4 linked regions of the Arabidopsis thaliana genome follow. The protein of the gene in region 1 interacts with the protein of each later gene in a pairwise test. Each region holds a gene or a part of one and is shown in the gene's direction. Other genes may lie near its edges.

The links.
Region 2: the proteins of AT5G16900 (region 1) and AT1G25510 interact in a protein complementation assay, tested with the Arabidopsis thaliana proteins (one large-scale study listed by BioGRID).
Region 3: the proteins of AT5G16900 (region 1) and AT2G07678 interact in a protein complementation assay, tested with the Arabidopsis thaliana proteins (one large-scale study listed by BioGRID).
Region 4: the proteins of AT5G16900 (region 1) and AT2G24250 interact in a protein complementation assay, tested with the Arabidopsis thaliana proteins (one large-scale study listed by BioGRID).

What each region holds. Positions count from the first base shown.
Region 1 is NC_003076.8:5,553,505-5,563,273, forward strand, and holds AT5G16900 (Leucine-rich repeat protein kinase family protein), read left to right. Parts: upstream 1-1,552; 5' UTR 1,553-1,572; intron 1,573-1,676; 5' UTR 1,677-1,749; coding exon 1,750-1,816; intron 1,817-1,930; coding exon 1,931-2,468; intron 2,469-2,598; exon of another isoform or gene 2,599-2,712; coding exon of another isoform or gene 2,713-2,759; coding exon 2,760-3,265; intron 3,266-3,615; coding exon 3,616-3,760; intron 3,761-3,844; coding exon 3,845-3,916; intron 3,917-4,243; coding exon 4,244-4,315; intron 4,316-4,402; coding exon 4,403-4,474; intron 4,475-4,545; coding exon 4,546-4,709; intron 4,710-4,808; coding exon 4,809-5,023; intron 5,024-5,129; coding exon 5,130-5,256; coding exon of another isoform or gene 5,257-5,289; exon of another isoform or gene 5,290-5,348; coding exon 5,349-5,414; intron 5,415-5,567; coding exon 5,568-5,757; intron 5,758-5,844; coding exon 5,845-6,211; 3' UTR 6,212-6,436; downstream 6,437-9,769. Other genes in the region: AT5G16890 (Exostosin family protein), read left to right, coding at 1-93, 182-320, 449-559, 700-768, 1,097-1,237; CSLD2 (cellulose-synthase like D2), read left to right, coding at 8,175-9,064, 9,157-9,769.
Region 2 is NC_003070.9:8,956,878-8,964,177, reverse strand, and holds AT1G25510 (Eukaryotic aspartyl protease family protein), read left to right. Parts: upstream 1-2,994; 5' UTR 2,995-3,354; coding exon 3,355-4,806; 3' UTR 4,807-5,091; downstream 5,092-7,300. Other genes in the region: AT1G25520 (Uncharacterized protein family (UPF0016)), read right to left, coding at 5-76, 166-238, 338-399, 470-514, 592-660, 744-791, 874-910, 990-1,081 and 4 more; AT1G25500 (Plasma-membrane choline transporter family protein), read left to right, coding at 6,385-6,450, 6,856-7,300.
Region 3 is NC_003071.7:3,277,800-3,284,791, forward strand, and holds AT2G07678 (uncharacterized protein), read left to right. Parts: upstream 1-3,297; coding exon 3,298-4,035; 3' UTR 4,036-5,330; downstream 5,331-6,992. Other genes in the region: AT2G07669 (uncharacterized protein), read left to right, coding at 5,425-5,754; AT2G07625 (uncharacterized protein), read right to left, coding at 6,299-6,366, 6,530-6,656, 6,809-6,817.
Region 4 is NC_003071.7:10,310,834-10,318,055, reverse strand, and holds AT2G24250 (LOW protein: F-box/kelch-repeat protein (DUF295)), read left to right. Parts: upstream 1-3,075; 5' UTR 3,076-3,197; intron 3,198-3,464; 5' UTR 3,465-3,495; coding exon 3,496-4,620; 3' UTR 4,621-4,990; downstream 4,991-7,222. Other genes in the region: AT2G24255 (LOW protein: F-box/kelch-repeat protein), read left to right, coding at 993-2,003; AT2G24240 (BTB/POZ domain with WD40/YVTN repeat-like protein), read right to left, coding at 5,893-7,218.

The sequences.
Region 1 (9,769 bases):
TGGTGCAGAATTAAGTGGTATCAAGGATATAATAATTTCTGAGGGGACTGCCGGAGAGGGAGGAAAATTGGCAGCGCAACGTGGCATGCGTAGGTATATTGGGTGGCTCCTTGACCCATTTGGTTGCAGCACATTTAGTTTTTCTTTCAACTTTCTCTAACTATTTCTGCCTTTCTATCAGATCTTTATTCTGTTTGTGTCCTGCTGGTGACACACCATCTTCAGCGAGGTTGTTTGATGCCATTGTCAGTGGCTGTATACCTGTTATAGTCAGTGACGAGTTGGAATTTCCTTTTGAAGGAATACTTGATTACAAGAAGGTATGCTAGAAAACGTATTACATTGGTGCTCTGAATTATAACCATTTTTTGTCTGAATTAGTTTAGATATGAAGCAAAGTTTGTATGACTGTTCGCTCTCTTTTCTTTTGCTTTTGTTTACCTTTCAGGTTGCTGTGCTTGTTTCTTCCAGTGATGCAATACAGCCAGGGTGGCTTGTAAACCATCTGAGAAGTCTTACGCCCTTCCAAGTCAAGGGGTTGCAGAATAATCTTGCTCAAGTAAGTACTTAGTTTTCCTTATCACTAACTTTGATGTTACAAAATGCATAGTTCGCCTTACACGAAAGGGCATAGCAACCTTACTTGGGCAGTGGATCTTTATATATATTAAGTAATATGGTTGTTTTAAACTTTTCCAGTACTCTCGCCATTTCCTATATTCGAGCCCTGCTCAGCCATTAGGTCCAGAGGACTTGACATGGAGAATGGTATGTACCTACAAAACTTACATACCTTTCTATAACTAAGATGGAAAAGAAATCAAAAGCTTAATAATATCTGACAGAATGTACATGTGGTAACTTAATTTTGATATTGTGAAAAAAAACAGAGTATAAAAACTTCACCTTTTGTGTTGTACAATGGCAAGGTCTCTTCCTTAATTATCCTGATTGTTCAGCACCATGTGTGTTCGGCTTATCCATTAATCGTCTAATTAAGTATTTGCCTTGATCTTTGATCAGTCAGTGAGAAGAACTTACTGCAATGTCGAAATCTAAGATTCAGAAAATCTTGATGTGTTTGTTGCGTTGACAGATAGCCGGAAAGCTGGTGAATATCAAGCTTCACACGAGGAGGTCACAGCGGGTCGTGAAAGGATCTAGGAGTATTTGCAGATGCGATTGCTGGAGATCCAACTCTACAGCCTCCAATTCTTTGAGTTCTCTCTTGTCTTAAGACCGATCACTCTGACTTCACATTCCAGTCTTGAATACCCTAGATATATACTGTGGAATGTGTATCCTATTCAATTTTAACATTGTTTGCTATTTTATATAATGTAATTCCTGTTCATCTTCGCAACTTGGCTACTTTTAGCTACGTGGAAATATTATGAAACTAACATTTTATACAATTGTGTATGTCCTCTTCACGTCATTTAAAGGTCTCTCATTGTCTGCTTGTTATTTTATTCCCTTGCGACGTTTTAAGTATTAGCAGATGATATAGACATGGGTGAATTTTTCACCACCAGCCTGTAGAAATTATCTACAAACATTAAAGTTTTTCAAGTTGAGTTAGAAAATATTTTGAGCTACTTTTATTTATGTATTTTGATTCAGATATCTTTGGTGGCACTTTTAATTGTTGACCTCACAAAACTGTTTTTTATTAGTCTCCATCAGAGGAGTTGATCATAGGCACTTCTTCATATACCAGAACACTGGCGGTTCTTTGAGGTAGCAGAAATGGAGGATCGTCATCGTTATCTTTTTTTCATATTTGCCATTATACATTATGTTCAGGCTCAACAAGGTAACCACATTTTATTGCATTGTTGCACACGTCTTTTGTCTGTTTACTGATTAACCTAAAGCAATATTTCGTGGATGAAAGTCAATCATTCATAACTATATTTCCTCTCACCAGGATTCATCAGTTTGGATTGCGGGTTGCCGAGTAACGAGCCTCCATATATTGAACCGGTAACCGGATTAGTATTCTCATCGGATGCGGATCACATCCCTAGTGGAATAAGCGGTAGAATCCAGAAGAATCTGGAAGCAGTACACATAAAGCCGTATTTGTTTCTGAGATACTTTCCAGATGGGCTACGAAATTGCTATACTCTAGATGTCCTTCAGAACCGAAGATACATGATCAAAGCTGTGTTTGTGTATGGAAATTACGATGGTTATAATGATTATCCGAGTTTTGATCTGTATCTAGGTCCTAATAAGTGGGTAAGAGTTGACTTGGAAGGAAAGGTCAATGGCAGTGTTGAAGAGATTATTCACATACCAAGTTCAAACTCTCTGCAGATTTGTCTTGTCAAGACAGGTAATTCTTTGCCGTTCATATCCGCCCTGGAACTGAGGCTTTTGAGAAACGATACTTATGTTGTCCAAGACGTTTCCTTGAAGCATTTATTTCGGAGGTACTATAGACAGTCAGATCGGTTAATCCGGTAAGTGTTGCACTATATCATAATCTGTAATTTGATGTTGATATACAAAATTTCCCTAAACTTAGCAATATATAGATGCATGAAGACAATACAAGAAACCTTCAAATGTCTGACCAACATCAGGAAGTTTCCTATTAATGCTCTTACCAATGAACTTTGACTTATATAATAGACGTATTGAAATTGTTTTTAATGATCGTAATGTCTTTCATAGACCAGTTGTTTGTGAACTGGTGAATTAGTGATGCATGGTTTATCAATCCATGTAGATGTGTTTTCTGATGTCCGCAGGTATCCTGACGATGTCTATGATCGTGTTTGGTCCCCATTCTTCTTACCGGAATGGACGCAGATAACTACCAGTTTAGATGTGAATAACTCTAACAACTACGAGCCACCAAAAGCAGCATTAACATCAGCTGCCACACCTGGAGACAATGGAACGCGATTGACCATTATTTGGACTTTGGATAACCCTGATGAGCAAATTCACCTGTATGTTCACTTTGCCGAGCTTGAACCTGTTGGGGAAAACACTGACGAGGCCTTGAGAACTTTATTTACAAGGACCTTTTACTTTGTGGTGAATGGAAAGATTAGTTATGATGAGAGTATTACTCCTTTAGACTTGGCTGTAAGTACTGTAGAGACTGTGGTGAACAAATGCGATGGCGGTAACTGCAGTTTGCAGCTGGTACGCAGCGAAGCGTCTCCGGGAGTACGTGTACCTCTGGTTAATGCTATGGAGGCATTCACTGCAATCAAGTTTCCACATTCTGAAACAAATCCTGATGATGGTACGTACGTATATATCTCAACTACTTTTACTAAAATTTTGGGATATATGCCTCAAACTATTATATGGAATGCTATTCCATTAGCTCGACCAGTTTTCTGTAGTATCATATTAATTTTCTACAGATGGTAAAGCAAGTTAATGTGAACCAAATTATTGCACTTTATCTAACAGTAGTCCACATACGAGACATGAGTGATGATGATGAGGTTATGTAAATTAGTTCATGCGAGAATTAATCAAGAGGAATCATCATAGTATCAACCACAAGAAATAATTTGTTTTGAACATATTACCTAATTCTTGTTTTTAATATGTTTTAAGTATGGTATATCTTTAACTCTATGACAGTTATATCTATCAAGGTTATCCAAGCTACCTATGAACTGAGCAGAGTCGACTGGCAAGGAGATCCGTGTCTTCCCCAGCAGTTTTTGTGGACTGGCCTAAACTGCAGCTACATGAACATGTCTACGTCACCAAGAATCATTTCCTTGTAAGCACTTAAAAGTGTGATATTGTTGTTATAAATTAGTTACGTTTCTAGATTTCTTACTGCTAAAATGTGTTATGTGACCAGAGACCTGTCCTCACATAAATTAACTGGGAAAATAGTGCCAGATATACAAAATCTGACCCAGCTACAGAAACTGTAAGTATGGCCTCTAATAACTGCGCTGTTTGAGCATCAATAGGTTTTTCAAGTTTAGTATGGTTTTTGTACTTCTATTGACTATATATACCAAGAATTTTGGATGTTTATTTTTAATTTCTAGTATCATTTCCTGCACATGTGGCTGCACATCTGCATTACCAATATAAAATCAGTCGCTGTTTTTTCAACAAACTATTTCTATGTAACCTTGTTTCTGCATCCTCACACATGAATGACTATGATTAGGCAGATTTCAATTTCTTCATTGGATATAGAGTAGTGTGATTTGTTTTTCTTTTCCGTATTTAATAAACATAACTGTAGGGACTTGTCGAATAACAAGTTGACCGGAGGTGTGCCTGAGTTTCTAGCCAACATGAAGTCACTGTTGTTCATGTAAGTCCTCAAACAAGTGAACTTATCTCTTTCTGTTTTCTCTAAATTCTTTGCATTTTCATGAGATAATAGCTTTTTCCATGACAGAAACCTAAGCAATAACAATCTTGTTGGTTCCATTCCTCAAGCGCTTCTTGACCGAAAAAATCTGAAGTTGGAGTAAGATCTTCAAACGTAACATTCTTTCAACTATTACTTGTGCCCTTAGATGATTTCTATTTATTCTGTAGGTTTGAAGGAAATCCAAAGCTTTGCGCCACAGGTCCGTGTAACAGTTCAAGTGGAAATAAAGAAACCACAGTCATAGCACCTGTTGCTGCTGCAATAGCCATTTTTATAGCTGTTTTGGTTCTCATTATTGTTTTCATAAAGAAAAGGCCATCAAGTATAAGAGGTAATGTTAATAAAGAAAATATGTTACATTATAAGAAAACAGGAATAAAAGCTACTAGAAGTTATTTAGCTATATATTTTACTTGATGTTTTTATGCAGCTCTACATCCGTCACGGGCTAATTTATCTCTGGAAAATAAAAAACGAAGGATCACATATTCAGAGATATTGTTGATGACAAATAACTTTGAAAGAGTTATTGGTGAAGGAGGGTTTGGGGTCGTCTATCATGGTTATTTGAATGATAGTGAGCAAGTGGCTGTTAAAGTGCTCTCTCCGTCCTCATCTCAAGGCTATAAAGAATTCAAAGCAGAGGTGATTTTACTACAAACTTTGAACATGGAATTGACTACAAAGGTATTATGGCTTCTCCTTGAGATTCAAATAATCATTGATGAATGGATTTCCTTATGGTTGATAGGTTGAACTTCTCCTTAGAGTTCACCACATAAATTTGGTAAGCCTTGTTGGATATTGTGATGAACAAGCACACTTAGCCCTCATCTACGAGTACATGGCTAATGGAGACTTAAAATCGCATCTTTCAGGTAGACATGAATAATATGGTTTGGTGGTTTTGACAGGTAATTATACAGTAACATCTTATCTTCATTAGACATGTATCTCCTGGTTATTACAGGAAAACATGGGGACTGTGTTTTAAAATGGGAAAACAGATTAAGCATAGCTGTTGAAACCGCACTAGGTTAGTGTTATTTCGTCCATTCCATAACTAATCTGTTTTCAATACTAAAAAGCCTCTCAAGAAGTTGATTTTGTCCAATTTTATCCCCCTTGTAAATTCCCCTCCTACAAACTTATGATGATACGTTAAACATAAATGAAACTTTCAATATAGGATTGGAGTACTTGCATAGTGGATGCAAACCACTAATGGTTCACAGAGATGTCAAAAGCATGAATATACTGTTGGATGAGCACTTCCAAGCTAAACTAGCGGATTTCGGACTGTCTAGATCTTTTTCTGTTGGAGAGGAAAGCCATGTGTCGACTGGTGTTGTAGGCACTCCTGGATACTTAGATCCTGAGTAAGCATCAATATAGAACAGGGTGCATTCCAAATATAATTTCCGAGTGGTTAAAGAAACATGATTTGTTATGTATTGTCTGTGTAGGTATTACAGAACATATCGCTTGACCGAAAAGAGTGATGTCTATAGTTTTGGGATCGTGTTATTGGAGATAATCACAAATCAACCCGTACTTGAGCAAGCTAACGAAAATCGACACATCGCAGAACGTGTAAGGACTATGCTTACAAGAAGTGATATTAGCACCATTGTTGATCCTAACCTCATTGGCGAGTATGATTCTGGTTCTGTGCGGAAAGCTCTTAAACTAGCGATGTCGTGTGTGGATCCATCTCCGGTTGCAAGACCAGACATGTCACATGTTGTTCAGGAGCTTAAACAGTGTATCAAATCTGAAAACCTGAGACTGAGGACAGGATTGAACCAAGTCATAGACTCGAAAAGTTCCTAGGACGACCAAGACTAGAGTTTTGGTTCGGGAATGACTCCAAATGCACGGTGGTGATCTCTGATCTGTGACCAAATGTATTTCTCGTTTTGTGTCTTGCAAACAAAACATAATAAATCAAATTAAGTCAATTGATGTTTTCAAATCCGATCCGCTTGACGTGATCCGCTGATAATATTGGTCTGCGATGGGGTGTGTTGTTGGTTCGTTTTGTGTAATAGCGTGGATTAATATTCACTCATCACATAAATTTTCAAAAATAACAACAAATTAAATACTATATGTCAGATATTTAATATTAATGTTGACAGGGACATTATTACGTGTATAATGAGAATTATTCGTGGTTAGTAGTAGTTACTCCCATAGATATGAAATATTGACATTTTTGATCAATGCTACGTACACACGTAACACGTTATCTCATTATTCCAAAAAGAAACATTTTGTATTCACAGGTGAGAAATACTCCTGCGACCGCGTATTCCCATTCCTTATTTTGAAATTCCCCAAAGTACCCTCATCGTCTCTTTCAGTGTGCTTACACGTTTTTTGATACCCGAGATTAACGCCTCCCTACGACATTCTTTTTTATTTTCCCATATTTTATTCTGCAAAATACCAAAAACAAAATTGCTTTATACTAACATGATATATTAATGACATTAATCTAAACAACGATATATTAATGACATTAATCACAACCATTTCCCCTTTATTATAAGAGGATTTCGTAATCTTACATTTCTTAATGCCATTATATTTTTAACTTGCGACTTCCCGAGAAAATTCAAATTCACTTGAGTTATTTTCAAAACTTGGATTCTACAGTATCTGTTTGCTATAAACACTTGTAAATCACTGAACTGAGATCAAATAAATTAGAGATTTCTTTAATCTTCTATGGTAAGTAAATTTTCGGTATCCCTATTCAAGAAAGAGAAAAAAAATGGAAACAATATTTAACGCGTTAAAAGATAAATAAGACCACAAGAGTTAAAAAGAGTTGTTCTTACTTTCTTCTCTACCTTGTCCGAAAAACCTCAGTCCCCCCCCCAAATCAATTAAAACGTTTCAAGAAAAAAAAAAAAAAGTGTACTACGTCAACTTGTTTTTTCCGGCGGCGTTCCACCTTCGTCTTCGCTGTCTCACCGCGTCATAAAATTTTCTACCTTAGTAAAAATTTCGAAATAGATCGTAGAGATCTTCCTTCTTGATTTGTCGTCTCGATTCTACAAAATTTGGCAATTTCTTTGTTTTATATATATTTTAAGATCTTTGAATATATATTTTGGGGATAAATCGGCTAACGTGTATTAGTTAGCAGGAGTGCTCAAGTATTTGCTCACGACTAAGTCCTTTTCTCCTCTTCTTCTTCCTTTCACTATCTCTTCTTATCAAATGCCTCATAATAATATCCAGTTGGGTGGCACGACACGACCGCGTTGAATACTTCAGACGGATTTGTTAACAACAAAGTCTCTACTTCTTCTTCTGTTAATTACTATATAACTCAAAGATCTGAGTTTCTTCTCTCTTCTTAGCGTTCCTTTCCTCTGAAGGTATTGTAAGCAATCTCGAGTTTCAAATCTTGTTTTATTGTTTTCTTATAAGTTCGTGGTGGGATCGTCTCTTTTTGTCTGAAAATGTCTAAAGCCTGTGCTTAAAGAAAGATGTGTGGGCTTTTCGAGATATTCTCGGATTTGAAAGTTTGAAACTTTGAATTAGTGTATTCGTCTTGATAACTTTAAAGGTGGTGCCTTTTTGTTGTAGTAAGCAATGATTGTTACCTTTTCTTTTCATTTGTGTGAATGTTGATGATGAGTTTGTTGTTAGATCGATATATATATATTGATCTGTTTCTTTGTTGATGTTTTTGAATGAATTTAAGATGTCTTTGTTTCTTCTTTTGCTAATTTTGTCTTTGACTTCTTTCTGCAGGGATCTGCCAAGTTAGATCCTAACTATGGCATCTAATAAGCATTTTGATAAAAGTCGATCAAATCTATCAAACAACTCTGATATTCAGGAGCCTGGAAGGCCACCTGCTGGTCACTCTGTCAAATTTGCTCAAAGAACTTCCTCGGGTCGCTATATCAATTACTCGAGGGACGATCTTGATAGCGAGTTGGGCGGTCAAGATTTCATGAGCTATACAGTTCACATTCCTCCCACTCCAGATAACCAGCCAATGGACCCTTCCATTTCTCAGAAAGTTGAGGAGCAATATGTCGCTAACTCCATGTTCACTGGCGGTTTCAAGAGCAACACCAGGGCTCACCTTATGCACAAAGTTATTGAGACAGAGCCTAACCATCCACAAATGGCTGGCTCTAAAGGATCGTCTTGCGCGATCCCTGGCTGTGATGCTAAGGTTATGAGCGATGAGAGAGGTCAAGACCTTCTTCCTTGTGAATGTGACTTTAAAATTTGTAGGGATTGCTTCATAGATGCTGTCAAAACCGGAGGTGGGATTTGCCCCGGGTGTAAAGAACCGTACAAGAACACGCATTTGACCGATCAGGTTGATGAAAACGGTCAGCAAAGGCCTATGCTGCCTGGGGGTGGCGGGTCAAAGATGGAGAGAAGATTGTCGATGGTGAAGTCAACTAATAAATCAGCTTTGATGAGGAGTCAGACTGGAGATTTTGATCACAACAGGTGGTTATTTGAGACGACTGGAACTTATGGTTATGGGAATGCTTTTTGGACAAAGGACGGGGATTTCGGGAGCGGTAAGGATGGAGATGGAGATGGTGACGGTATGGGTATGGAGGCCCAAGATTTGATGAGCAGACCGTGGAGACCGCTTACTCGGAAGCTGAAAATTCCTGCTGGTGTTATTAGTCCATACAGGTATAAAAATAGACAAGTCTATTGTTTGTTGTTATTGTTTAACTTTACGAAACCTAAACATGTTAAAAGAGTTCTTTTTTCTTTCTATGCAGGCTTTTGATATTTATCCGTATAGTTGTTCTTGCATTGTTCTTGACTTGGAGGGTTAAACATCAAAACCCAGACGCTGTATGGTTATGGGGAATGTCTGTGGTTTGTGAGCTATGGTTTGCCTTGTCTTGGCTTCTTGATCAGCTCCCTAAGCTATGCCCGATTAATCGTGCCACCGATCTTCAAGTCTTGAAGGAAAAGTTTGAAACACCGACAGCCAGCAACCCGACCGGCAAATCCGACCTTCCTGGATTCGATGTCTTTGTCTCTACTGCGGATCCGGAGAAAGAACCTCCTCTGGTCACTGCTAATACCATTTTATCTATTCTTGCTGCGGAATATCCTGTTGAGAAGCTTTCTTGCTATGTATCTGATGATGGAGGGGCGCTTCTTACGTTTGAAGCAATGGCTGAAGCTGCTAGCTTTGCCAACATTTGGGTTCCTTTTTGTCGTAAACATGCGATCGAGCCGAGGAATCCTGATTCCTACTTTAGCTTAAAGAGAGATCCTTACAAGAACAAAGTGAAGTCTGATTTCGTGAAGGATCGTAGACGGGTTAAGCGTGAGTTTGATGAGTTTAAAGTCAGGGTTAACAGCTTGCCTGATTCTATCAGG
Region 2 (7,300 bases), on another chromosome or scaffold:
AGCATTAAGCCTCAACAGAAGTAAGATACGATTGGATGCCAAAAATGATGAAAAGCATTCCACCAGAAAGAGCCACCTGCAACAACAACATTACACGACCCAAGTTTTAGCTTTTGATGAGTCGTTTAATCTCAAATGTAGAAAGGGATAATGAGAGATATTTACTATTCTTTCGGAAATTTGAGACGCTAAGCTCTTTCCTCCAATTACAGCAGCAGTGGTGCACAAAAACTGTGCCCTGTATAGGCATACTATTTAGTCAGTAACGTCGCTTCAAACATATTACTTTTGTGATGCAGACACAAAATGATTGTAGCAGTTTTGCAGTGAAACTTACACAACTCCACCAAGGACCACCCCAAATGGATTTTCATCTGCAGCTAAACCAATTGTAGCAAGCTAGACAAGAGAGTTATGGTGAGTATGTGAAGCATTTAAGATTGAATCAATTCGAGTAAGTAAAAGTTACCTGACTCTTGTCACCCCATTCTCCAAAGAAATTAATCGAAAAAGCCTGCAAGTAGAGAGGGGAAATATGAAGTTAGTTCAGAAAAGTCTACTGCTTTTGTGAGCAAATTCTGTTTTAGTTACCTTGAGAAAAATTGGAGAGAAAAATTGCGTGAGGAACGCCCTATTCTGCTTTTTGTTTTCATCTTCTCTCTACAAGGACAACAAATGATTTGAAAACTTAGCACAGGCAATTTCCACTTGCAGTCTCTGATCTTGTCGTTTTGGTTCAATACCTTACTACTGTCTTTTGGAGATTTACCATTAGCCTTCAAATCAGCATCCTATAATTAAAACACAAGAACGTCAAGCCACAAAAGCATTTATCTAAACGTGAGAGCGAACATGCAGAAAGAAGAAACAAACCAGTTCTGCTTCGACTTCAGCCAATTCTTCCGAACCCCTGCCAACAAAGTCAGATAATCTGAATATCTTGGATTAAATCATCCTTATGACAACAAAATATGATGAAGAAGTATTACCCTCCTCCTTCTTTGAAACCGTCCCACAAAGACCATAGCCCAAAACCAAAGAACAACAATGTTGTTATGTGATGAGTCCATTTGCGAGAGATCTGAAGGTGAGGGTTTGAATCAGTATTTACTATTTAGTAAGAAAAAAAGGCTTATGTAGAAATACAAAATAAGTTGAAGCCATACCAGATTAGGAGCAGCCCATCCAAGAGTAGCAGAGAGGATAGTCATAACCTAAGAATTAAACAAAGACATAAGCTTCAAAATCTATGGAGAGAGGTCACTGAAACCAATAGGTCAAAGCATTCAGAAAAACTTACAATCAGAGCCGATAAACAACCAGCCAACACAAGTCTCCTAGGATAACGCATAGCCAAAATCTGATATGACAAAAAAAAAAAAGAGTTTAAGCTTGCAAAATCAAGATAACAACAGAAGTATCTTACACACCTTCAAAGAGCCTGTGGCAGATTCTAAACTACCAAAACACTATGAAACTGAATGGCAATATAAAAGCTACAGACAAAGGATCCAAAGATGCCATCTAGATTCTTAATCAGGAAAAGGCAATCCAATAAGTAAGACTTTAGACTTCGATTCATGTAAAAGCCATTGACTTCATCGACCTTAAACCCTCAATAGATTACATGAAGCAACAAAATCTAAAACTAAAGCGAAGAGGAGACGAAACACTTACTGCTGCAGCGAAAAACGTCTTGTCACCAATCTCCGATACAAAGGTCATAGCAAGTGACTTCGTAAAACCCTATAAAACCCCAACAATCATAAACCCAGATTAGCTCCACAACGATTCTTACGAGTTTACTCCCCAGAAAACATTAATCTTTTACTCTACCTGCAAAACCGAGCTCATGGCTGCCGAATTATAAAATCGACGGCGAATTAGCTACGAAGGAGAAGAAAAAAACGAAACTTTCGATTTTTCTCCGGCTGTGTTACAAAGAAGACGGAGTGATCAATCGCCGGAGTTAATTAACAGTCGTCGAGAGAGAGCAAATAGACGAGACGAACATTCGCTGAAGAGCTAAAAGATGAATCCTTTTTTTTTGGGGATTGTAGGTGAATTTGATTCTGATTCTTTAACCCTTAAGATCTTACCACGTGGATTGATAACAACCAACGATTTTAATGTGTGGGACCCAGAAAACCCAACTTGAGTTTAGAAGATGTTAATTTGTTCCCTTGTGTTGTTGTTTGCGACTTGCGTCACTTGCTCGAGCAAAACAATAAAGACTTTTACTTCTTTGATAACTAACTTGTCGCGATCACGATTGAGACGTAACGTTTAGAATAGTATAACACGTAAGTTTTTGAGAGATGCTCAAAACTGATTGGGTATTTTAGTATTTTTCGCTTATCTCAACTAAATTTTATTTCGTTTTATCCTACTATTTTATACAAATAAAAAAAAATTGACCGATTTCTGATTGGTGGCGAATTGATTCGCAAACGTATGTAATTATATTTGATTTGATCCAACTGTACTTATATTAATATTAATTTATTTAATTCTAAAATTGATGAATAACTAAAATCAGGTGGCAATATTCTATCTATCTCAACTGCATATCATGTTAAGCTGAGATTAGAAGTGTATTTTAGAATTTATAGTTTAGATTTAGGCAGCAAGGTTAATGAGTTAATGTAGTAGACTTGGGGTATGAAATGGCCCAAACATCCAAGTTAAAAGCCTAGATAAGAGTTACCCACAGGCCCATGAGGGACCATAAATTCACCATTTTTAAGTCAGCAAATTCCTCCACATTGTTAATACCTTAACATGATATGCATATGTATGTTTTTTTGTTGTTGTCAGATTGCGTATGTATGTATTGGTTTACAGTTATAGCTTTCTTTTTAGGTTAATTGTTTAGTATCATATAGCTTTATAGACATAGGTCTGGATAAAATGAAATAAGTGAGCTGTTATAATTTGAATGAAAGTCATCATTAACAAAGCTAAGCTCATAGCCAAATAAAATTTGTCAAAGTGCGAAGATGTGAAACACTCAAAAGTGGCTGACTTAATAAAATCTAAAACAACAATCTCCACACTAACCGCATTGAGATCATAAAACAAGTTTATTTAAATCCTCACACTTAAAGAGGATGAAGAAACCTCCTCTTCCTCTTTAACCATTTATCTAATCTTTGGATTAATTCTTCAAGAAGAGATACTTACTTATATAAATCTCCTCGAAATCTGCAAACCCCCAAAACACAGCTTGTCTTTGTTTTAATTAAAAGAAGCTTTTGTCTCATTTTCCCTTCCCCACCAAACACACTTTTGTCTTCTCTTTAATAAACCTCATTCACTTCATCTTCTTCACTGTTAACGGTCGGAATCTAAAAAATGTCTCCTAACTACTCCTTCTTCTTCTTCATCTTCTTCCTCACTTCACACTCTTCTGTTTTCTCCAGAATCTTACCAGAGACCTCCACAACCACTACCTCAATTCTCAATGTCGCTGACTCCATCCACAGAACCAAGTATACGTCGTCGTTTCGGTTAAACCAGCAAGAAGAACAGACTCACTCTGCTTCTTCTTCTTTCAGCTTGCAGCTTCATTCACGAGTTTCCGTCCGAGGAACTGAACACTCAGACTATAAGTCACTCACACTAGCCAGACTCAACCGTGACACAGCCCGAGTCAAATCTCTCATAACCCGTTTAGATCTAGCCATCAACAACATATCCAAAGCAGATCTCAAACCCATCAGCACAATGTACACCACTGAGGAACAAGATATCGAAGCTCCTTTAATCTCCGGCACGACTCAAGGAAGTGGCGAGTACTTCACACGCGTCGGTATCGGAAAACCGGCGCGTGAAGTTTATATGGTTCTAGATACTGGAAGTGACGTGAACTGGCTACAATGTACTCCTTGCGCTGACTGTTACCACCAAACCGAACCAATCTTCGAGCCATCGTCGTCTTCTTCTTACGAGCCTCTCTCTTGTGACACTCCACAGTGCAATGCCCTTGAAGTCTCAGAATGTAGAAACGCCACGTGTCTTTACGAGGTTTCTTACGGTGATGGTTCTTACACCGTTGGAGATTTCGCCACCGAGACTCTCACAATCGGCTCAACTCTAGTTCAAAACGTCGCCGTTGGTTGTGGACACAGCAACGAAGGGTTGTTCGTCGGCGCCGCCGGTTTACTTGGACTCGGCGGTGGTTTGTTAGCTCTTCCGTCGCAGCTCAACACGACGTCGTTCTCGTACTGTCTCGTTGACCGTGACTCAGACTCGGCTTCGACCGTGGATTTCGGGACTTCTCTTTCTCCTGACGCCGTCGTGGCTCCGTTGCTACGTAACCACCAGCTCGACACGTTTTACTACCTAGGCCTCACCGGAATAAGCGTCGGCGGCGAGTTGCTTCAGATTCCTCAGTCTTCTTTCGAGATGGACGAGTCAGGCAGCGGTGGGATCATCATCGACTCAGGAACCGCCGTGACTCGTCTCCAGACCGAAATCTATAACTCGCTTAGAGACTCGTTCGTGAAAGGAACGTTGGACTTGGAAAAAGCAGCCGGGGTGGCGATGTTTGACACGTGTTATAACCTTTCGGCTAAGACGACGGTAGAAGTCCCGACCGTGGCTTTTCATTTCCCCGGCGGGAAGATGTTGGCTTTGCCGGCGAAGAACTACATGATTCCGGTTGACTCGGTGGGGACATTTTGTTTGGCATTTGCACCGACGGCGAGTTCACTAGCGATTATCGGAAACGTGCAGCAACAAGGGACACGTGTCACTTTCGATTTGGCAAATTCTCTCATTGGATTCTCGTCTAATAAATGCTAAGCTGTTTTCATCAAAAAAAACAAAAATGCTAAGCTGTTTTTTCTATAAATATATTTGAGTTACAATGAAAAGGAAAAGTCACTTAAAAGATAGTAATGTTAAGTTAGAGTACTGTACTACTGTTTGGTTGTGTTTGTTTCTTGTACTTGTTGTTGCAATGCATAGAGTGAAAAAGAGTAAAAAAAAGATGGAATTTGTTTTTGCTAATTTTATGATTAAAGAGTAGAACAATGAATCTTGAGGGGCCTTGTTACAGGTCACATCACACACGAATGAATGACTCCTTCTTTTCTATGACGCATGAATACTCGTAGTGTTGAGAGTTAAAGCCCAAATACAATGTGTGATCGAAGAAGTTAAGCCCAAATACAATATGTGATGTGATACAAAATAACAAAATCTTTGTAAACCAAGAAACGAATGATTGAAAATACAATCTCTTATATGAGTTATGATCATGAAAGTGTAATCCCTAGTACTAACTGATATGAAACAAAGAAAAAAGTGATATGTTTATGGAAGATGAATTTACACAAAACTAAATTAACTCTGGTGATATTCTATTGGATATGTTTAATGAACTCTAATCATTCTATGTAAACAGTATTTTTTAAAAGAGTAACATGGCACAGAGATTTATATTATCAAAAGAGAAAGAAAAAAACATGGCACAAAGAGAGGTGGCGAAGTCATGGTGCCACTACTTGCCATCACAACATATGAAGTGGCAGCTATGGGTTCAATCATTTTGTCCTTAAAAAAAAGCTTTATTTTCCTTTCTCCTTTTTATATGTCAACCTTTTACTTTCTCCTTTGTTCATCCAAAAACATTCTCTTACTTTTACAGTTTCATGCTAGACATAAAACTTATGCCATAAGAGCAAAAAACCTGGATAAAATTCAATGTTTTTGTTAATATTTTCACAATTAAAATAGTGGTATATTTGTTGACAGAAAAAACAAAGAGTCGTAGATTCAATAGATGATTTTGACCGGTTCTTTTAAATATCTGAATAATGAGGTATACAATTCATACGTACATTAAACAACGTCCAAGCAAAAAAAAGAAGAAGAATACATAATTATATAATACAATTTATATCAAACATTTACCACACTTCCCTTGTAGGTGAATTTATAAAAACTTTGACATAAAGTTTGAGAAAACTATATGCAATTTTTCTGTTATATGCATTAAAGGTCCATTTCCAAATAACAAACAGAAATAAAGCAACGAACCAAAAAAGAAAAGAAATAATTTTGTGATAGGAAAATTAAAAAGAAAAAAACGTGAATAGTTACGGAGGGAGAAAGTGTGATCTGAAAACGACCACTGCTTATCCAATAAAAAGGAAGAAGACGAAGAAGAAGAAGAACCGCTCTGACAAAACTTCTTTGCCTCACTCTCTTCTCTCATCGTTTTTCATATTTCTTCTTTGATTCACGTTTCTTTTCTTTTCCTCTCATTGACTATTCTCCCTCACTTCTCTCTCTCTCAACTCTTGTGATATTTATTCAAAGATGCTTCCATGAAATTTGGTTTTGGTCAGTGAGTGAATCTTCTCTTCTTACTCCATCATGAGTGACTCCACTAACAGCGTCTCTCCTTCCTCTGATTACGCCTCCATCTCCTCCGGCGACCAGGTTCTCCACCCTTACTCAATTTCGATCTGGGCACGAATCTCTTTCTCTTATAATTTCTGTACAAGCGAAGTTGTTATGAGAATCCCTTTCTGGGTTTTGCTTTTTAGAACATAAAGTCATTTCCTTTACGAGTGTGATCTTGATGAACTCATATCTGGATTTGTTCCTTACATGTTAAGAGCGATTGGTTACTTTGGCTTTGTAACTTTAATCACGGGTCAGTCGCAAAGTTTTTTCTTTTTGATAGAAAATGTGTCTTGTGTGAGTTTGATCACTTTATGTATTTGCATTGTACTGATATGAAGTTTCAGAGTCGTTGCTTATGTTAAAGCATAGCTTTTTGTAGGTCTCAGACTCGTCCATGATGTAATTTGAATGAATCAATGTTTTCATTTTGATTTGCAGAGTCTTCAGCGGAGTCGAAGGAGTGGAGATGGAAACCGAGCCGTTGTGCGTGAGTCCCGCCATTGGCATGATGTATTCTGGTCAGCCATCTTTGTGATCCACTTGATTTGTTTGGGATTTGTGCTCGCGGTGCTTGGACTCAATAGGTTTAGAATATCAGATAGGTTAAACATCGATAGGTACACTCAAGGGTTCTTGGAGAATCATAAAGGTCTAACAGAGGATTACTGGCCTCTCTATGCTGTTGCTGGTGGCATTGGAGTCTTTATCAGTTGGGTTTGGTCATTGCTGCTTGGCTCTTACGCCAATGAGATGATGAAAGTTTCGGTTCACATCTTAACAACCTATCTAGCTGTAGTTAGTGTACTATGTTTCTGGTGCAGACTGTTCTTTTGGGGCGGTGCATTCGCTGTTGGATCTCTGTTGCAGTTCTTGTATGTTATTT
Region 3 (6,992 bases), on another chromosome or scaffold:
TTCTCGGTTTATCCTATGTAATAAGAGGTAAAAGTAGTAGGAGCGAGACCGTTGTAGCTAGAGCAGTCAATCCCTTTATCGATAAAGTGGTAATGAAGGGTCTGTAGTAAGCAAACCTAGTAGCTGCTCTTAGTAAGACCAGTCACAGGGATATATAAAACCAGAGAAAGGCTGACTTCTATTTCAACTGAAACAGGCTTGGCTGGAAGATCTTTTATTAAGTCAGACTGGCTAGAAGCGCTATAGACTGACCGTTAGAAGTCATTGATAGGGATGTTGAACACTATCAATTACTTCTCTTTAGTACCGGTATAACATCGACTACTAAAAGTAGAAGGGAAGAAAGGTTATCCAGCCACTTCTTTGGTCCGGGATAGGAGGCTTGTTGAATCAGACGAAATAGGACATCGGTGCCGGTACTCGATTCGAAGCATGGCTGGACGCCGCACTCCTGGCACCTAAAGGTGCTTTTTTCGCGTACTCTTTTTTTGTGATTTCCCGGTAGGGAGGGATGTTTTTAGTACAGATCTTTTAAGCGAACCACTAGAAGGAGTCTTTGATTGAGGATCATCTGAGATGGATGAGCCATCTCCTTTCCATTGCCAGTCAAGCCTGCCATTCAACAAGCCCTGTTGTGGTCATCAGACTTTATTATAAAATAAGTAACGGAAAATAATCCATTGCTCCGTTGACTCTTTCAAGCAAGGGCTTCCTTGTCTCAGAGGCCCCTTCAACCGGCTTCAAAACTCGCTATTCTGCTGACGATTTTAGCCTTTATATATCACCCCGAATGGAGTACTCAAGTTGAACCGGGCGGACCTTTGGAAGGGTCTGTTCGAGAACTTCACAACTTCACTCTAGGGCCAACCTCGAAGGGTTTCCTCTCTTTATGAAATAGAACAGCAGCCAACCACCGAGGTTCCTCACTAGATATATAGGACTGGTACCTTCGGTCTCTTGCGACACTCCGAGCAATGTTGCCGCTCTGTTCGCTTCTTTTTCAATGACGGTAACAGACCAACCTTCAATGGCAGATAATTATCAATTTGACTTAGGAGGTTCCGATGCAAAGGCCACACCTGTGGTTGATTGCCTCCGCCACCTCTCTACAGTCAGTTTAAAATTCCACTCTCACCTGTTGGTGCTTAAACTTTCAGCAGCCCAAAAAACACTCAAAAGCTCCGCTTCGAAAGCAGTTGTTGTTGGCATAAAGGCTCTTCGTCAAGTCGAACCACACCGAGGAGGCACTTGTTAACCACCGGATGGAGCAAGTTCGTGAACAATAAGAAGCTAATCGCTGGTGATTCTGTTGTATTTATGAGGAAATCGGCTGATGAGATGTTTATTGGTGTAAGGCGAGCACCAATCTCTAGTAACGTCGGAGGAACAAGCTTCTACGGCGGAGATGAGTACTGTAGTTATTATCAGAGCAATGGAGGCGTTGCTAAGGAAGACGACGGAAGTGCGAAGAAGGGGTTTAGGAGGACTGGGAAAGGGAAATTGACGGCTGAAGCTGTCTCTGAGGCGATTAATAGAGCAGCTCAGGGTTTGCCGTTTGAGGTGGTTTATTATCCTACGGCTGGATGGTCGGACTTTGTGGTGAAGGCAGAAGATGTTGAGGCTTCCATGGCTATATTCTGGACTCCTGGTACTAGAGTGAAGATGGCCATGGAGACTGAGGACTCTTCGCGGATTACTTGGTTTCAGGGGATTGTCTTCTATACATATCAGGAAACTGGTCCATGGCGTGGATCTCCTTGGAAACAGCTTCAGGTATAAGATCCCCTTCACTATTCCCTTAATATTCCTCTGATGTTGAGCTGATGGGAAAATATATAAATCTGGTTATTCGAATGCTAATTTGGGTTTGGAATGTGAGGTTCCAGTTGTGTCAAGTTTGGATTGCTGTGTTGGGGGGATTCGTGGTTTGAAATCGAAATATGTTGATTGGAAGCAGTATTAGTTAGTTCATTTTCAAATGAATGCCATATCCCTTAGTTTTGTTGTTTGAGATTCATCTTCAACAAAGATACATTGGAAAAAGAAGTCGGAAGATCTTGGTCTTAGTATTGTTTGTGTTGCACTCAGATACAGTAAATCGCTACAATCTCTCTTCTCTCTTCTCCTATCCCTCCGCTTGCTTCCGTTTTCAATCTCTCCTTTCTCTCAGACATTACGGTCTCTTTCTCTCTCTCTCTTTCTGAGCGGTGATCATGCTCTGTACATTCTAGTATATGTTGATGATCTTAGAATCACATGGTCCAATCCTCTTCATATTGATGACATAGTATGCATCAAAAATGCCATCTTTTCTATAAAGTATCTGGCTCAATCTTGGTCAAAAAGTGAGTAGAACTTCTGCTTCTATCTTTCTCAAAACATTACTGATCTATTGGTCAAGGCTGGCATGGAAATAACCTCTCCCTTCTCCCATAGTCACTTCTGGGTCCTCTTTGTCTGCTCTGCTGTTGTAAGTTCCACTTTGCTGCTAATCCTCATCTCTATCGTAGCTAGAGCATTCTTGGTGGTTGCTAGCATAACCAGACCTGACATAGCTTACTCAGTGAACTTTCACAATTTCTGATGAGACCTTAGATAGAAAAGAAGGTTTAGATTAAAGTTTCTATTCCTTCCTATTAAACGCTTTCAAAAGATTGTTGAGATATCTTCTCTGAATTGTCTGCACTTGACACCTTCCTCTCAACTTGCTCTTGTTTTAGTGATGCTGATTGGCCTTCGTGGGAATTTATAGATCACTCTCAGGATATTGGCTTTTTCTTGGGAGATCCTACGGGAAAAGAAGGAAAGAAGTCAAAATAAGAGAGTAAGAGCCTAGGTTAGAAGTCAGTTTCAGTTCTCTTAGGTCTCTTTCCACATATACAAACTGAGAGTTCAGTCTCATATAGCATGAGGGGACATGGCTTGGTAATCGATTCAAATTGGACATAGATAATCTTTCAATTTCTCATATTATATATGATAATATAGGCGTGGAAAATTTATTGGGGTTATAAAAAAAAAAAGAATCCTCGTCTTTACAGTCTTATCAATTGTGATAAGAAAGCGCTCTTAGTTCAGTTCGGTAGAACGTGGGTCTCCAAAACCCAATGTCGTAGGTTCAAATCCTACAGAGCGTGATTCCGTTGCTCTTGTTAGGTCGAAAATTAGACTGAACTCAAATAATTGAACAGTAATCTGAATTTGATCTCTCGCCAGAATTGATTTAACCAATAGACATATATATTATCTTTCTTACTTCTGACCAGTGGTGCTCTATACATATTGGTGAATTTAGATATGAAAATGAAATCTCCTTTATTTAGAGGACCACTGGTCAACAGTTCCACAGAAAATCCAATTCATATCCTAACGCGAGAGAAATTGAGACATCAGACCAGTGGTACAAACTCAACAGAGAAAGTAATACTACCTAATATACTTCATAGTTATATCAAAAACCTAAACTTAGATTTCACATCACCATATGGATCAACTGGTAATAATGAAGTATTAAGCATACTTCGTAGTAGGTTTAAACAAAGCATTTTCCCATCATCTGGATTAAAGTGTTTGGATACTACTGGTGATTTTCTCATCAAAAATGTTTTACATAAAAGATATGAAAGTGTTCAGAAGAATATCTCAAATGCATTATCATCCTCCATAAATTCTCGCACTGCAGTCTTCTTTTGTATACTGTTCAGTATAACAGTGTTAATGGAAATAGCTCCTGGACCTCTTTTGAAGAAACCTTCATTATTATTTTCAGATAATTTACCAAATGTATTGCAATATACACGAGATGTGTATGTGAATCATGTTTGTATAATACACAAAAGTTTAAGTCCATGTGAGTGCGAGGAGCCTCTCAATCGAATTATTAGAGATATGTTTCCGCAAACCACTTTTGACCCACTTGAACTACAGAAACCTTCACCCAGTAAAGTGAAAACTATAACCTACATGCTTGGTACTATTCTTCTTGTAATTACATTAATGGATAAGACTGGATACACTCAATTAGTTAAAATGTAGATAGAATGAAATACACATTAACCTCCTTCTCCATTTACTGTTCTTTGATTCTAACCTCCTTCTCCATTTCCCGTTCTGTCCTAGTTCTTTGTTTCTAACATTCTTAGCTTACCGAGATAAGCAATTCCCTACCTAGAAAAAGATGATCAAAGGCATTGAGGATCAAGCTATCCTTCTTTTGCTGTTGAATTGAATTGAATTATGTTTTGGTAAGGACATCAGTATTGATCCTCGTCTGATATAGAGACTTTCAGGTTTTCTAGATCAGCTATTATCCTTTGAAACTCATTAACGTCCTCAAACTAAGGAAAGAAGTGCTCAGTGAGCTTTAAATGATTGAATTGGACTTTCGGTCAGAAGTGAGCCTAAGCTTTGTTGTGAGCTGTCTCGTTTCCCTGTACTCGCATTCGCTTACATCAAACCAATCAAGCTAGGATTCTTGTGGGATTGACTCCTGGTAAGGAACCGTCTTTACATCTCTAACTTGTTGGCTCGTTAGGAAGGGAAGTTAAAGCTTGCCTGTAAGGGGAAGGCAAGCTCTCTAAGCAAGCTGTTTTCATGCCTATACTAGCTTTCTTTGTTTGACAGGTTGGGGGAATACCCAATTCAAAGAGATCAAGCTTACACTGCACAGATTTGACCTTATTAAGAAAGTTTCCGGGAAGGGGTAGAAGATGCTAGATGTTTCCCTAGGGTCTTGACTAGTTCCTACTTCCTTGCTTCCAGTGTAGAAGGTGTAGCTGGCATACTGGAGTCAATATCTTAGTTCAGTTGTTGCCTCCGGTTGTCATACTGGAATGAGTCAATATCTTAGTATCGTCTGTAATGTGGAAGAAGTAGCTAGATGTCTTCCCTGTGGTTCTCTGCTAGTGGATACTTCTCTCTAGCGGTGTATCGGGTGTTGGCACTTCGGTTGTTGCCAGTCCTGTCATTTCCTAGAATATGTGTTAGTATAGGCTGGAATATGTAAGTATTGTCTAGAAGTTCCCTGTTGGTCCCTTACTAGTCTGCTCTTCTTTGTTCCAGTGAGTTCTGTCATGAAGTGTAGCTCATGTTAGGATTACCCGGGAAGCGAGCTTGTCGACGACGACGGGTAAGCCGTGTGAGCGGTTAAGGGTTGCTTGTTGCTCAGCTGTCTTTAGTCAATATCTTATGAATGTTCCGGTCCAGGGAATAATGTGAATGTAGCTAGAGTGTTCCTAAGGTGCGTGCATACTAGGGCTTCTTCCTCTAGTTACCGTTGTAGCTGAACCAGCACTTGCAGCTGTATATTCTGGGCGAGGAGCGTAAGCGACATGGCATATTTGTGAAAGAATCTCCCTTCTCTTCGTTCGGACTAGCCATGAATAACCAGTTGGTTGCTTCCAGTGGAGGAACCCCTGTTCATGCATGGCGGGGCCCGGGATCCCTTGCTGCTGCGGTAAAAGAGTCTTCCTTCTTCTGGGCGGAATGTGTATGAGTAGGCGTGAAGTAGGCGAAGCAGTCCTCCCGTTGATACGTGGGATAGGAGAAGGGGTCTACCACTTTATATCACTAAGTTCCCCCTCTCCGTCTTGCAGGTATTGTTTCTGGGTTGTGTCTGCTTCCCGCTGTGCAGCTTCCACTTCCTTTCTTTGTTCTCTGGGAATAAGTAGCATGAAGAGTTCATCTGTTGTCCGTAGGTCCCTGGCTGAGTTATCATGTGTAGCTAAGTACGATCTGCGTTCTGCTGTCAGTTAATAATCTCCTCCTCTCTTTGTTCGGATGGGAACTATTGTATCTGTTGTTAACCCTTGTATCTGGCTACGCCGCCCTTAGAAGCAGAGTAGCCAGTCCAGTAGGTGTAGTTAGTTATCTGTTCAAGTAGGTAGGAGGAACCCAGCTTCTCCTATCTCATAGGAGGAACCCGTAGAATCAATATCTTTTCTTTCTTTCCACAGAAGGTCAGCGGTCATACTCTTCGTACTGTTGTTAGCTGTTCCTGTTCCAGACGAAGTAAGGTAGCCGGCTCAGTCTCTTACTCGGAGAGGAACGCCTACTACTCGACTAATAGGAGAGGAACGCCTTTGACTTCTTTCTCTTTCGAAAAAAAGGAATGTAGTTAGCCTAATCACTGGGATGATGATTGGATCAGTTTAGCTACTCTGTTAAGGTCTACATCAGGAGGTTCAACTAAGCCCGCAGGTATATTTGGCAGGCACCTGAAGCGAGTTGACTCTAGCTAGGAAGTTCTTCTCTGGCCTGTCACCTGAGTTAGAGGCTAGGCTCCGAAGCCTTCAGTTCTTTAGTCTCCCTGAGAGTTGTTAGAGAAGGCAGCATTGGTCGAGAGAGTGTGAGCGAAGCGTAGTAGCGCTGCTATACCGAGAAAAGTAATCAAACCTAAATCTAGGAAATACAGCTGGGTGTGCTCATGTTGGCTAGGTAGCAGGGCCAGACAATCCCTTTACTTTCACTTTCGTGTGTGCGTACTATTAAGAGTTACGTGTGTGCGTACTATTAAGAGTTAGGAGTATACCAGCACAGAGAGAGGAGTGTGCTTCAGGTAGAGCACAGAGGAGGATAACAGTTAGGAGAGTTAGGAAGGAGTAACCCAGCACTGTGCTAGAGAAAGCAGAGGAGTACCGAGAAAAAGCAGCAGTGTGCTGTACAGAGAACAGAGGAAAAAAAAGTTCGCAGCAAAAGATAAAACAGAGACGGAACCTTCCCCCCTTCATGCTGTACAAAAGCGGCCAGCACAAGGTCAAGGCGAAGACGGAGCAGCACTACCTGGAGATGATCCTGGCGAAGAACGAACCATTACCATTCTAAGGAGGGGGAAGCACTACTATATATCTCTTTCTTAAGAAGCTATTTCTAAGTTCCACTTTCCATTAACCGAAGTCTAATGATCGCCTGGCATTAGCGCCATCCTACCGTCTCGTTTATGAGCTTGCATCTTGTACTTCTCCTGCCTCTGAAGGACCGGACCAATGATAGAC
Region 4 (7,222 bases), on another chromosome or scaffold:
TATAAAAGATTAGATTATTTTAATTATAGTAATTAGAGTTTGGATGGAAGCCACAATTATTTAATTTAATTAAAAAATGATATTTTTTTTTAACCTAACCGCTACCGCTCGCAACCGCAAACGATTGCGGAAAAGAGTTTTTGAAAAACGGGCGATTTCGAGCGGTCCAAAACGATATCTAACGATTTCTATGATTGGTGTCAATCGCTAACAAGCGTTTGCGGGTGGTAAAGGGAGAACCAATCAAGCCCTAAGTCTAATACATTATTTTTAACTTTGAGTGTTTTCGAGCAGCCTCTCTATTTTCAATTTTCCATTTTTTGAATATCCAGGCGCTACATGTATCGGAAATGCTCCCATTCGATCAAAGCCAATCGCTTTAACCTTGCAATCTATTGCACAAACTTCACAAACTCATACCTTTTCAATCAATCGTTTTGTTTTAGAATTGAACGAACAAGAACACAACACTTTGCGTGTTCCAAATGATCAAAGATACATCTCGCAAAGCTTTGCCTATCAATCCACTATCAAACGTGATCTTTATATTCAAAATCAAAACCCGAATTGTTTAATCAGCTTCACTTGATTTTAACCGGCCAATTCCTTCGGTTAATTTCCCAATTCAATCTCGAACCGAATCCCACCTCTTTCTCAATTCATGTCCCACCTCAAATCTTCTCGTCTACGACACTAGTCTAGGGCAAACTTCACAATCGACACTAACAGTAAATTGCTACAGCGGAAGCGATTCTTCCTTTGTATACTCAATTTCTTTAAAGCTTAATCAAAATCACTCTCTCTTCCTTCAAATTCTCCAGAGACCTTGGGCTCCAAGTTACGGTACGATCATATCTCTTTATGCCAAATGAATCTTCGGGTTTTTTCCCCAATATTTTGTTGCGATTTTACTGTACAATCAATTCAAATGTAAATTAGAATTTTTTTAGCAAATTCGTAGATTGCAGCGTTTTCTGTCTCCATTAGCAAACATGGCAGAACCCAAAACGAAGAAGACATCAACATCATCGATAACCCCAGACTGGTCTGAGCTCCCTGAGGAGCTACTGTATCTTGAAGTATCTAGGGGACAACTGTTTCGATGTTGTTCATGCTCGCTCTGTTTGCAGCTTGTGGCGATCCACATTTCCTTTGTCTCCCTTGTTACGCCCAAGTTACTCTCTTCCCTCGTTCAACGAATTCCCTTCAGAAAGCAAAAACATGTGCACCCTCGAGAAGGTCCATCTCCTGATATTGCTGATGATCAGCTTTCCGATGCTCTTCAATGTTTAGTGAACGTGAAGATCCCAGCATCTATTCCAAAAAAGATCATCCCTTTGGGCCATAAGTACAGAATGATCGGTTGGGAATATAATCGCGCGACTTTTCTTCGGCTAGACAAGGAGGGAAGAAGAGGAGAATTTGTTGTGCTTCTCGAAGTCTCTGACACTTTGCTGGTGTTAACAAGTGCTGAAATGAGGTGGAAGCAGCTTGAGAACGTCCCATATACTATATGCGTTGATATAGTCACTTTTAGAGGCAGATTTTATGCACTTTTTCTTTCAGGACAAATCGTCGTTATCGATCCTTATTCGCTGGAGGTGACTCTTCTGTTGTCCTCACCTCAGGACCCGCGAGAATTACGGTCTCTGGTTCCATATGGCAAAGATGAACTTTTCCTGGTTGAGGTAATCATCCCAAATGATGTTGTAATAGACTTTAGTCGGTTAGCTCGTAGAGTGAGGAGGGTAGATGAGAAGGCTGGTAAATGGGTTGAGGTCGGTGATTTGGGAGACTGTGTATTGTTACTTGGAAATCTCTCTTGCTCGGCTAAGGAATTTCCTCGGGGTTTTGGTTTGACTGAGAACGCAGTTTTGTTCGGCGATCAGTCAGGCAATGCATTTTTATACTATAAACAAAGTGCGGTAAAAGATCTCAAGGGAGAATCGTGTGATGATACTCAACCATTTTTTCCGGTTATGGCTCTCCATGAAGACTGCTAGGCAGTAAAATCCTGCTTTAGAGAAATAAAAACATAAATTCCTATCATATTTTTAGGTATGGATTTTGTGATATCTCATGTTACCCATTGTTGGATCACTGGTATTTAATGTTGAAGTTAAATCTCAGTTCTGAGTTCTTATAACTTTTTTTCGTCATCATGATCTTTTTGAACAATTTGACACTGTCCAAAACTGAAACGTTTAGCCACGATATAGAAACTCTTTTCTTGGTCACTGATCTTTTATTGTGTGCTGCCTTGTGCAGTTTAAAAATCTTGCTACTTGAATGGAACTGGCGCTTGATGACGACGATATGGACTAAATGTAGGAAAACTACATTGCTTTTGACCGTGTAGCTCCCGAAGACTTCCTCAATAAAGCAATGGCTGATTACTCTAGCTCGTTGATATTTCCCTGGAGTCTTTGATTTTTCTCGACGTTTAAGTTAGCTTTTCCATCTTTTTAACATATTATACCGATGTCATTTTGAATGAGAATATAGCTTTTAAGTGGAATAGAGAGGGTAGACATTTGTTTTTTCAAAGTGATGAAAAGAAGTGAACTAGATTCTTTAAAGATCAGAGCATATCCACTGTGGTAGCTCACATACTAATACTGTTACGCCAGAACTTTCCCAGAGAGTGTCAATGAGAAAAGAAAATTCCTTCCAAAAGCTAAAGCTAAGTTCTTGAAATCATCTTTAAAGGAAAATGAAACTTACTTCTATAGTTAGCCTAGGGAGTTTCATTGATGGGGTTACCAAGCTCTGTGTTATTTCATTAATGTTGCGTACTAGCGTTTATTAACCGTTCCAAAAACAAGAACTCACATCACTTTACGAGTTCCTAAGATTCAAACCGATCGAAGATACCTCTTGGCAAATCAGTATCAAAAATATTCTTGGGTACAGAGGAGAGAAACAAGAGTACAAAACAATCAACAGAACGAAGAAAAGAAACATAACAACAACATAATGCAAAAACGACGTCATCTCAAGTCTATCCGAAAACCAAAGTCTTAACCGGCTCATTTGATATAAACCGTCTCAATCCCTTCGGTTCTTTGCTTTCCCAATCAATCCAACCCCAAACCAAATTCGCTCTAAATCTTAACTAGTCTCTATCCCCATTTGTCGACGCTACGAAAGGGCTCTGAAGAATCTGCAGGAAGCTCCAACTTTTTCTCCAAGTTACGGTACTACTACGACCTATCTCTTTAATCCCTGCGAATATTCTATAATGAACTGTGAATTTTCTGTTACCAACTTTTAGTTTTTCCTGTGGCAAATTGATCAAACCCAGAATTGATTATGACCTTTGGAGCTTCAGTGAAATCAATTTTTTCCTGTTGGGTTTTATTTTCCAAGAATGAACTGAGAATTTTCTAAAAATGGAAGAGTTGGATCGTTTCAGCAATTTCATCAAACCCCTAAAAAAAAGTTGTAAATTTTCGAAATTGCAGCAGTAAATTTCTGTGTTCTTCAGCAGCAAGCATGGCAATGAAAAAGAAGATATCAACATCATCGATAATGCCAGACTGGTCTCAGCTCCCTGAAGAGCTACTTCACATTATCTCAACGCATCTAGAGGATCACTATTTCGATGCTGTTCATGCCCGCTCTGTTTGCCGCTCATGGCGATCCACATTTCCATTTCCTTCTTCTCTATTACGCCAAAGTTACTCTCTTCCCGCTTTCCCTTTAGAAAGCAAAGACTTGTGCTGCACCCTGGAGAAGGTCCCTTTGTTCCTCTTTAGAGTTCTAACTCCTCCTGATGCTGCTGATGCTTCCTCCGAATATTTTCTGGGAGGATTAGGCCAAGATAAGTCAAATGATCATGTGGAGCTTCCATCTCCTCTTCAGTGCTCAGTGAAAGTCAATGTTCCAGGAACTGAGCCAATTTTGATGAACATGCTTGACTGCCAGATCATCCCTCTGGGCCATAAGTACAGATTGATGATCGGTTGCAATCCTGAAGAATACAGTGCAGCTTTTCTTCCGCTAAACGAACAAGGAGGAGGAGGCGAATTCGTTGCGCTCCTCGACTGCACTGATTTGTTTTTGGTGTTAAGAAGTACTGAAATGAGATGGATTCGGCTTGAGAAACCCTCAACTGCTTCATGTAAGGAGTTATTCACTTTTAGAGGAAGGTTCTATGCAACTTTCTTTAATGGGGACACGTTCGTTATCGATCCTTCTTCGCTGGAAGCGACTCCCCTAACACCTCATATCGACTCCAACTTTCTGGTTCCATCTGGCAATGAGGAGCTTTTCCTGGTTAAGACAGACTTCCTAAGATGTAGAGTAAGTAGGCTAGATGAGGAGGCTGCTGAATGGGTTGAGGTCAGCGATTTGGGAGACCGTGTTTTGTTTCTTGGTGGACACCTGGGGAATTTCTACTGCTCCGCTAAGGAGCTTCCTCATGGTTGTGGTTTGACTGGGGACTCGATTTTGTTCACCGTTGGGTCACGCAATGTAACTTACCCCTATAAATATGGAGTACATACAAATAAAAGAAAGGCTGAAGACAATATCAATTGTTGGAGATCCTCAAGGGAGAATCGTGTGTTGTTCCGCAACAGATATGATCCGGTCCTGTCTTTCCGGGTTGAACGCTAGGCCGCAAATTCTCACTTCAGACTGTTATTCTGTTTTTATTAGATCAAAGGCTATGTTTTCCTTTGATTTTAAGTCTAGATTTTGTGTACTTGAAAACTCGAACTATACATGATCTCTAGCAAATGTGCAATGGTCTATTGTAGTTAGTCTAGAAAGATTTGTTGGTAACCAGCTATGTTCTTATCAAACTTGTTGCAGGCATAGCAGCAATGTCGTCCCCTTATGCCATACCCTCATACAACTACTATTCTTGCTTTTATTCTGTTAAGAGCTTTTTGATCGTTGTATATTGCTACTACATTTTGGTTTGAAGTAGTGGTGCATGTGTTGCATAGTCCGTAGGTAAAACTGGTCCGAAAGCGGTAAACAGGATCACTTCGTTGTTAGTTTGTATCCTTGGGATAGTGAAGATCTTGACAGTTGGTACGTTTGAGTTTTGTATCAAATTTAAGCCTTTTCTGTGATTCAGGGAAGCTTTCAAGAAAGAAGGTGATAATCAGGAAAACTACATTGCTTTTGACTACTCGAGCTGATTGTACTTGCCTTGAGGGAGTCTTTGATTTTCTCAACGGTTAGGTAAGCTTTTCCATCTTTTTTTTTAACATATCAGATTTCCAATATTCTTGAATGAGAATATAGCTTTTAAGAATGGAAATGGAACAGAGAGGGTAGAGACTGATTTTGCAAAGTGATGGTAAGAAGTGAACTAGATTCTTTAAAGGTCAGAGCTTATCCAATGTGGTAGCTCACATTGTTATGCCACAAACTTTCCCGGAAAGTGTAAATGAGAAAAGAAAATTCCTTCCAAAAACTAAAAGCTAAAATCTTGAATCTTTAAGGAAAAGCGAAATGAAGATATAAACTTTAACTGCCCCCAAAAGACAGTAGCAGTTGCAACCACTCACATGTACTAAGGTAACGAATCCTCAAAAAACCTTAAAGAAGCTGAGGTTGAGATTTTGGACCACCATGGAAACAGCTTAGTAAGTCTAACGAGAATAAAATAAAACACAGCTAATACTAAGAACTCTGTATCGAGTGAAGACCTGGCTATCGTTGATCGGTGTAAGAGACATAAAATCGTATAAAATCGATATCATTTCTTAGTAAGAAGCAACACTTTCTTTGTATAGAACAAAACTAAGATCATCAGTCTATTGCTATAGTTGTCTTTGTCTATTGCTATTCTTTTCTCTGTAGTTTTCTAAGGACTCTATTAAAACAAGCAAACTAAACGTGAACAAAAGCAAACCAGAGTATTAAGGTAGTGAATTATATGATCGGACAAGGCGGAGTCTCCCAGACATCAAACACATTCTCCTCGCTATGCAATGCAAAAAGGCGGTCGCCACCAATGGAGAAATCACAGATTGAGCCACCATAGCTTCTTCTTAGCCTAGAAGTTAAGACCCAGTCTGGTCCACAGAACACAGAGATAGAATCATTCATTGATGAGAAAAGCTGGCCTTCATGCAAAGCTAGTTTCGGGTAACAAGGCTCATCAGGCATCTTACTCTTCATCAGTTTACTTCTCGAACTCCACCTCACGCTTCCTCCATACATCCTCAGATCAATAAACCCCAAATCCTCAAACTCATTCACCACACAAATCGAATTGCTATCTTCCATAGCTATTGCATCTCTCACTCTCTTCTCGTCTATCGCCATAGGAGACCCAATATCCGACCATGACCAAACCATGTTCTTGTCCCGAAAATCCAACAAACTAATGTAACAGTTGTCCTTTCTTGGAAACAATGTAGCCACAAGAAGACAGTTCTTACCATTCAGCCATTGAAGCTTGTCAGCATCACCAAGTGACCAACCAGGACTCTCGTAGAAGAAATCGGTTTGCTTTCCAGTTATCTGATCCCAAACTCCGATTCCATACTCATTACTCCGACCTTTGCAGCTCGCAAAAATCTCATAATCCGGCGAAAAACTCAAAGCTCCAGCTGTATAACTCTTCACCTGATTCTCATGACAGACCTGAAACTTATACCGAAGATCACCGGAAGATGAACTGAACAGTCCCATTCCTCCATCTCCTCTTCCCAATTTCTCACAAGCAGAGAGTACGATGTTGTCTGAATCAATCCAGCCAACATCGTTTACTCTCTGGTAATCAAGGTTGATCGGAGAATGTTCTTCCAACATCCAATCAAAAACATGAACAACACTCCCGTGCGCGACGCAACAACCGCCATCAGGACCTGCCCTGATGGCGGTTCCGTCTCCGGGAGCAATTCCTTTAACAGAATCCGATAGACGAAGACGGTTACCATCAAACGGACCCCATTTAGCGGTCCGTACATGGTCAAGTAAACCGTAGAAAGAAGCTTCTCTATGAAGGAGACGCTCAGGGATGTTGGCCGGAACGTTAAGGTCTCCCGTACGGAGAAGATCAAGAAGAACTGCGAAGCAATCTGAGTTTCTGTCTACGAAAAGAATGGAATCTTCAAGTGGTGAAAGATTCCATTCGTCGTCGAACAATGCTCCGAAGAAAGAATCACGACCTGCGTTTGCTAACGTCGTCGCCGTCGTTTCGAAGAGTCGTCCACCAACGTTGAATTTGATCCTGTCTTTTGAGATACCCATTAAT